2 linked regions of the Drosophila melanogaster genome follow. The protein of the gene in region 2 purifies or fractionates together with the protein of the main gene of each other region. This does not show direct contact. Each region holds a gene or a part of one and is shown on either strand. Other genes may lie near its edges. The genes, in order: CG8117 and TfIIFalpha.

Region 1 (3,101 bases), on a different chromosome or scaffold from region 2:
CGGACATAAAAACGCCAAAAGAAACGGAAAGGAAGCCTGGGAAAGGCGCATTTCCACTTTGTTTATTCGGAGCTCTGAAGCTCTTTTTAATGGTTTCTTTTTTTTTTTTTTTTTGGCCAAATGGCCAATTAATGCGATTTACTTGATACGCTTTTGCATTTTGTTGTTGCTTTACGACGGCGGATATTAATTAATTGGCCCGTCTCTGGGGAGCAATTCCCATTGTGCCCATCAAGAGTCCACCTATCATCCCAGTTCGCAGTCCAAACCTGAATCCCAAACCCATAATCCCATTCAATGCCGTTAATGTGGGCCATAAAGCAAATGCTTTAACGTCTATAATTTGTCTGCACTTGGAAACGACCCACGCATACTAAACATAGTATACTATACTATATATACCATCTCATCCAATTCAATTCAATCCAATTCAATCCCATCCGATCCCACCCACTCCGAGATCATCGCGCCGAATGATTCATTAAAGTGTAAAGTGCTAACTAATAGTCGAAAAATTCATTAAATTAACGCTCGCGCTATGCTCGTTTTTTATACAAGCAAACTCGTATATTGTTGAATGTTTATGAAACAAAGATTTGCTTTCTTTCGGACTTTCGGTGCTAGTTTATCTGCTTTCGCAGGCGAACAAAGGAGCATCCATCGATGATGGACTCATTGATACCCTCTGGTATTTAAAACGAATGAATAAGATTTTTATGACATGTAATATATTTCCATAATATGTATGTTGTATGTTGTATGTTGTATGTATTCTTGTTAAAGTATTATTTACATATTGTGGAAGCCAACGGAAGATCAGTCTGTTTATTGATATGAGATATTGTGAATTGTGTGAGTTCGTTTGCTTGGTATCCAGCCAAGACGGGTGACTCCTTCAAGGGACTCTCTCCACGGTTGTCTAGCTCTTCCAGCGGTTGCCGCACTCGTCGCATATCACAAAGGTGATAATGGGCTCGTCACCATCACGGATATGCAATTGGCTGCAGTTGCGTTTGTCGCAGCGTTCGCATTTGAACTGATCCGTCTTGGTGCCCTGAACCTTGGCCATCTGTGCCGCATTGATCGAGTCCTGAACGTACTTCTGGCGCATCTGCTTCATATCATCGCTGGCCATCTCCTCGGGCGTCATCTTGGATAACTCTTCGGGCGTTATTTGACCTAATAGGAACTTCTGGCGCAGCTCTGGATTCTTCGGATCGCGCAAGTTGGCCAAACGCGAACGTATGCGATTTTTGTACTTCACCTTGCAGCCGTTCAAGTCGCCGTAAATTGCGTCCTCCAGTTTAGCGGCCATGTCATCCGGATCGCCACATCCTGGTGGCATGTTGCCCGATTTCAATGCGGTTGCCAACATCTCGCGGCACTTGATGCGTATTTCCATGGACATGGCTGCAAAATCGAAAGAAAGTTTAGTGAATTTATTCAACGAAACCGGAAAGCACAATTTTTAGATTGTGAGAAGTTGAGAGGTCACTGAGAGATGTCTAAGCTGACAGGAACGGCAAGGTAAATGAAGGTTTTTACTCGGCAACTTTACAACCCAACTTGATTAAGGTCTAAATATTTCGGATTTATTATGCAATATTTCTACTTAATCATTTCTTAACCGTTGTGATTAGCATGTAATTAGTATGAATTTGAATAGATAAATCTACATATGTATAAATGTTCGATTTGGGAATCCCCTGCGTAATGCATCACTATTCCATAACGCCCGCTGTGGCCCCCAAGAAATGTGCTAAAATTGGACACTGAAAGGAAAACCAAACACAAATGAAAATCAAAATCGAAATGGAAATGATATTTCCCATTTAGTCTATATGTTTGTGTTTGTCGTTCCGCTTTCTTTGTGCGCCGCTGGCTTTTGATTTCGCTAATCGTCTACAACAAACAGCGCGGAGATGATCTAATTATTGACGCACGAATCCCGCAGAAGCACCAAAAACAAAAGGAAAATGAGTAATAAAAAAAAAAAGGAAAATGGGAAATGGAAAATTGAAATATTGAAAAGCCAAACAACAGTGACGAAGGGGGGGGGGGGGGGGTAGCCACAAAAAGTAGGAAAAAAGCCCAAGCGAGCGAAATTGAAAACAAAATCGAAATCATTATCCAAGTCATTAGCTTTTTAGCGAATCGTTCTTTTTATTGTTGCCGGATATAAATCTGCTAATGTACTTAACCACACAAACATCTAAAACACCCACCACCCAGCCACACCCCCGCTTGCCAACGTCCCACTTGGCTTCGCTTTCGTCCCACTGTGCGTGCGCGTTTTTCTAGCGTTTTTAAACGCCTCCGCCGACCTTCAACTGTTAAACTTGACGACCTCAGCGTAACGTAAACAGCCGCCATCGATTCGAAGCTACCCAAATATAAAGATACAAATGTATCTATCTATCAATGGTCTGGGGAATTGGTTCACGGCCGATTACTGACCTTGGCGGCCTTTTGTCTTTCACCTTTCGGCCAACAACGTATTTGGCTTGGTAAACAAGCCCCAGAACAATGGGTAAAACCTTGAACCTTTGTGGCCAATCAATTTCTCCAGATTGGCGAAAATAAAAAGAAAGTGTGTGGCCAACATGAGGGGCAACCAAAGAAAATTTAAGAAAATATCTCAAATATGTTCCTGTTTCAAACTACTGTTCAAAATACATTAGCTTTTGGATAACATTCTTGCAAAATCTTAAATCAAATTGAAGAAAAATCTTAAAAAACACAAATATAAGTAAATAAAGTTTGGACAATGTGGTTTATGTATAATATATTACAAAACATTTGAATGATTACATGAAGATCGATGAGGATTTACTAATAACTCCTGCAGAATCATCAATTATGTGTGAATAAAACTTAAAATGTCCCACTTAAATAGTTAAATTCCAGTACGCAGCAATTTTCCACTAATTTACCTCGATCAATTTGCATTTTCCAAGTTTTCTAAAGTCCAATTGTTGGTTGGTTGGCTGGCTGCCTGGCTGGATGGTTGAATCGATGGCTGGATGAACGTTTCCCATCGCCGGAGTGCAGTTACATTCGCTGCCTATTTGTCTCCCGTCGAAGCCAGCCCACTGCCACGC
Region 2 (4,914 bases):
AGTTGACCGTTTGGAGCGACTTCTGGCCAGTTCCTGTATCCAATCCTATTTTTTCAGCACTCGCTCGCCTCCTCACTCGTCGCCATCGCACTGGTATTGCGTTGTACTTTGTTTTGCTCCCTTTTGGGGCTCGGACTCCTCGGGTTCCTTTAGTTGGTGGTCGTGGTTCAGCGGGGACAGCGCAGTGGCTGCGAAAAGAGCATGACAGTCGCGATAAGAACGCTTTGGGTTTGGTTCACTTTTCTAATTATCGGATATTAGAATTTACATCCCACCCGAACACAGACACATATACAGGGCTAGAGCTGGAACTAAATCGATGTATAGCTGCTGCTGGCTTCCTGACGGCGATGTTTTCGTACATCGATTACTCCCATATTTCGATAGCTATCGACTAAAATTTTAAAAATATTAAAATCCAGTATTCTCAGCAACTGTTTCAGATCATTGTACAGAATTTAGAATTCTCAACTTCAGAACCTGAAACCATATAGAAATATAATACTAAGATATAGCATTAATAACTAGTTTTTAAGATTCTAGAAGTACAAATACAATGAATTGGTTAAAATCAGTTTCTGTGCAAAATACTACTTGCCTTTTCGAATTAACCAAGAAAATTAACCGATTTTCAGTGGTGCGTTTATATTTTGTGTTGAACAATAATGCATTTGAGTTATGAAACATTAAAATCACATGACTGCGGGCTACTTGATCCAGAGATACATTTTCCCCTGGATGGTGTGCTTGACGGGATTGATCTTCTTCAGGATTTTCGTCATGGTCTCGACCAAACGGTCGCTGGAGACAGGCGTCTTCTTGTTCTTGAACTTGGTGAGCAACTCGGTGGCGGTCAGGGGCTTTCGCTTAAGATACCGACGCACCGCCTCCTCGGTGATGCCGTAGTCCCTAAACAAAATACATGAAATTAGAATTAGGAATTCCAGTATATCACGGCTTTACTCACTCTACTTTGCCGCCAGAGAAGGAAGTGGGCAGCGATGTGCTAATCTCGTTCTTAGGCCTCTTTGCTGGCGTGCTGGTGGGACTGTTGCTTGTGTCCGAAGCGGTGAGATCGCTGGGTAAGCTGTTCATCTTGCGCTTGCTGGCATCCGTCGAGAGCGTTGGAGTGGCCGAGCGAGATTTATTGGCATTGCTGCTGCTGGCGATGACCTTGCTGCTCGCAGCGCTCTCTTTCTCCTTTTCCTTTTCCTTGTCTTTGTCCTTGACGACGACCTTCTTCTTGGGCGGTCCGTTGCTAAGGTCGTCCTCGGAGTCTGTGCTGTCAGAGCTGAAGTCTGTGGACGAGTCACCGCTGCCATTCGACTTGCCCTTCTTGTCGTCCTTTGTGGGTTTCTTCTTCTTTTTGTCCTTGGATACCTCGTCCTTGCCCTTATCCTTCTTTTTTTTCTCGCCGTCGGCATCCTCCTTGTCCGACTCATCAGACTTCTTCTCATCATCCTCCTCTTCATCGGAGGTAAGCAGCTTGCGGAGCGCATCTTCCTCGGCCACGCCTTTCATGTCCTTGTCCACCTTTGCCTCTGGATCTGGTTCGCTAGAATAGGGTATAAGAAATTAGTAGATGTGGTCCAAATTGTATTGCCATTATCAGAATCGTTTGGGGCACATACTCTTCACTGGAGCTGGTGTCGTAGTCCATTTCTCTGCCCTCCTCGTCACCATCGTCCGACTCCTCGAAGGCCTCGTCATCAACATCCCTCTTTTTCTTTTTCTTGTCTGCGCCCTTCTTGCCCTTTCCCTTGGCCTTGCCATCGTCGCTGTCTTCCTGCTCCTTCTTCTTTTTATCCTCCTCGTCCTCCGAATCCGACTCATCCTCGGAATCAATCCATTCATCCATGTCAGTGATCTTGAGCTCCTTGGATTTTTTGGTGGCTGCCTTAATTAGCTTAGCCTCCTCCGGATCCTGCTCCTCTTCCTCATCGCCGCGCAGACGCTTTCGCAACATAAGGGAGAAGTAGTTCATCACCTTTTTGCGCCGACCAAATTCCTGTTCGGCCTCCTCCGCCGACAGCGATTTGTAGCGCTGAATAGGCTGGAAGTTGTACCACTCGGTCAAGGGGTATGCCTCAATGGCGCCGTCTGGTGCATGGGTGAACACATAGAAAGCTGCATTCTCGCCTACGCCGCCCTCGCGGATGCCTTTGAACTTCTTTCCAGTCTTGCCACCCACTTTAAGGATCCATGGCTGTGCCTCTGGACGGTACTTTCTCGCTATAATGCCAAACTTCTTGCGGCGCGCCTCCTCGCGCTGATCCCGGTTGTACTCCGATCCAGCACCAAACTTGGGCTGATCCTCCTCCATGCCCCGGAACTCCTTCATGTTGTTTTCCCGCTCCAGTTTCACATTTCTCCACTGCGCGAAATCCACATTGAGCGTGGCGTTGAACCGCATCACATGGTGCTTCTTGGGCATCTTGGGCACGCGGATCTTGAACTCCTGCACGTTGGCGGATGACGAGGCGGATCCTGAGGCGACAGAGGCTGCGGCGGCGGCAGCTGCGGACGTGGAGCTCCCGCTGGCAGCGCTCGGCTGCATGAAATCAAGCGAAGACCGCAAATAAGTGTTGGCGCCGGAAGCGGCAGGGTAAAGACTTACCGTCGACTTTGACGCGCTCGACATGGCTTAATGTTTGCTAATCATATGTTGCTTCTATCTGGATATTTTATACTTTTCCCCAAACTCTTACAATTCGCGGCGCGGGCAGAAAAGTTGGATTTTCTAGCGATGTCCGATAACAGAAGTGCAGTTATTCTTTGGAAGCAAGTGTATCGTATCGTTTGGGCAGAAAAATAATATTTATTCCAAGAGATTTTGATAAACAAATTGGAAAAGTAGATATTATAAGATTGCATATTCAAGCCCTACAAGGTATTTAAAAACTTCAAAGTTTTGTAATGTTCTATCAAAATAAAGTGACAGCCGATATCCGTTCACAGTCACGGTTATCGATTACCTCTTTTTAGATAAACGATTGTCGCCATAGCAAATAACGATAAATTCACAAAGCGCTGTCTAGTTTGTTTGGATTTCATTTGCAGTTTGTCGCTTAAATGTTAGGGAAAATGTCGCGGAACGTGACGCTCTCGGATGAACAAAGTCGGCTTAATGCGCGTCTGGAGGCGCACATGGTTTACATATGTCCGGAATGCGGCAAGGCGTTCCGCACTCAGGCGGAGTGGCGACAGCATCTGAACACGGCAAGTTGCGGGTTTTGTGCAAATCAAGTTCTGCTTTAATAATGGTTTGAAATGTGCCCACAGAAACACGACTATCTAAAGAAGACGTACTCAGATTTCAACTTCATCCAGATCGACGAGCGATTCCATGAGTGCCAGCTGTGCTTCAAATGGGTGGAGAATGCCCACAAGACAATCGCCCTCCTGCAGTACCACTACTTTATGCATCTGGAGCACAGTGAAACCTACCGCTGCGTGCACTGCCGCATGGCGTACACGAGGCGCCGGGCTCTGAACGTCCACCTACTGGACACGCACATGCGGGAGATCGAGAAGTACGAGAACAAGCTGCGCCAGATGAAGCGGCAGCAGGCGAAACCCACTACAGCGGCCGCACCAGCTGGAAATGCAGAGAAGCCGATGGCTGTGAAGCCGCGTGGGCGTCCCAAAGGTTCCACGAACAGAAAGCAAAATGATCTGCTGCAAAAGGCGCTGATGGACATTGATCTGAACACAGAAATGGAAAAGTCCCCAGTGACAGCACTAGCGGCTCCTGTAAACGAACCTAAGCCCATTTCAAATGTCAGCGAGCTGAATCTAGATCGGTGTTTGAATGCCTACGAGGACATCGTGCGCAAGGAGGAGAAAGAGGTGGTGCCGAAGTATGACGACGAGTTGGATGCGCTCTGCAAGGAGTTTTTTGATGATGGCCCCTCCGCCGGCAAAGGAGAAGCTAATGAGGAGCAGCAGCAAGACGATGCGCACCTGCAGCAAGGAAATCAGGAGGTGGTCATCATCGAGATCGATGCACTCGGCAAGGAGGAAGTGGCCCAGCTGAAGAAGGAAATGAAGTCGGACCCAATAAGTCAACCGACTAAGCGTCGACGCATCTCTACGACGCCCAGCCGCGACTCAGACACGGAAATGTCCACCAACGGCCTCACGAAGCTCATATCGTACTTGTGTCCGAAGTGCGGCAAGGAAATCGCCTCGATGGACGGTTGGCGGGCACACGTATTCAAGAAGCACGACTTCGAGCACATAATCGAGAACAGTTTTAAGATCCTGGAGTCCGGGCGCAAGGCCATGTGCCTGCAGTGCCGTGAGGTGCAACCAACGACCGTGCGCTCACAACTGCAGAAGCACTGCTTCAAGCATCTGCCCTACCGGTCGTACCTCAAGTGCACACTCTGCGATCGCACCAAGACCAGCACCTCAAAGATCCTCAATCACATTCGCTACAACCACCAGGAGGAGCTGCAGCGTAAAAACAAGACGCAGCTGCTTATTAAGCCGGAGCCCATGTGGGCCAGTCCCAACAAGTCCGGTCAAGCGGCCATGGCGGATGACGCCGGATCCGAGGACGATCAGGGCGAGCAAGCTGTGTGCGAGCACTGTGACAGAGTCTTTAGGAGCAAATGGCGCTACGAACGACACATTGCCTCTTGCAGGAGATCTGGAGCTGGCAAGTCAGTCGAAGGGACCGTTGAAGCCTTGTTGAACCATCTGCGAGAAGGGCACATGCGAATGAACGCCATCTGGAAGACGATGCAACGTGAAAAGCCTTAGGTATAGTCTAGTTAAAGTTAAGTCGGTCCATCGTTTTGCAAATATCATCAAGTGTAAAATATACGTAAGTTTTCAAATCCTTGTGCAAATATTGTGCTAGGAAAAGATCATAATTAACACATACGACTTACATGCCTATGAAACATG

What was found.
Region 1: the proteins of TfIIFalpha (region 2) and CG8117 purify together in Drosophila melanogaster (affinity purification with mass spectrometry, with the first as the bait; one large-scale study listed by BioGRID). This does not show direct contact.

The regions. Positions count from the first base shown.
Region 1 is NC_004354.4:15,642,598-15,645,698, reverse strand, and holds CG8117 (uncharacterized protein), read right to left. Parts: upstream 1,478-3,101; 5' UTR 1,409-1,477; coding exon 920-1,408; 3' UTR 708-919; downstream 1-707.
Region 2 is NT_033777.3:6,378,323-6,383,236, reverse strand, and holds TfIIFalpha (transcription factor IIFalpha), read right to left. Parts: upstream 2,771-4,914; 5' UTR 2,642-2,770; coding exon 2,618-2,641; intron 2,552-2,617; coding exon 1,632-2,551; intron 1,556-1,631; coding exon 968-1,555; intron 910-967; coding exon 708-909; 3' UTR 633-707; downstream 1-632. Other genes in the region: CG1024 (uncharacterized protein), read left to right, coding at 3,073-3,219, 3,283-4,767. UniProt on the Drosophila melanogaster protein: TFIIF is a general transcription initiation factor that binds to RNA polymerase II and helps to recruit it to the initiation complex in collaboration with TFIIB. It promotes transcription elongation.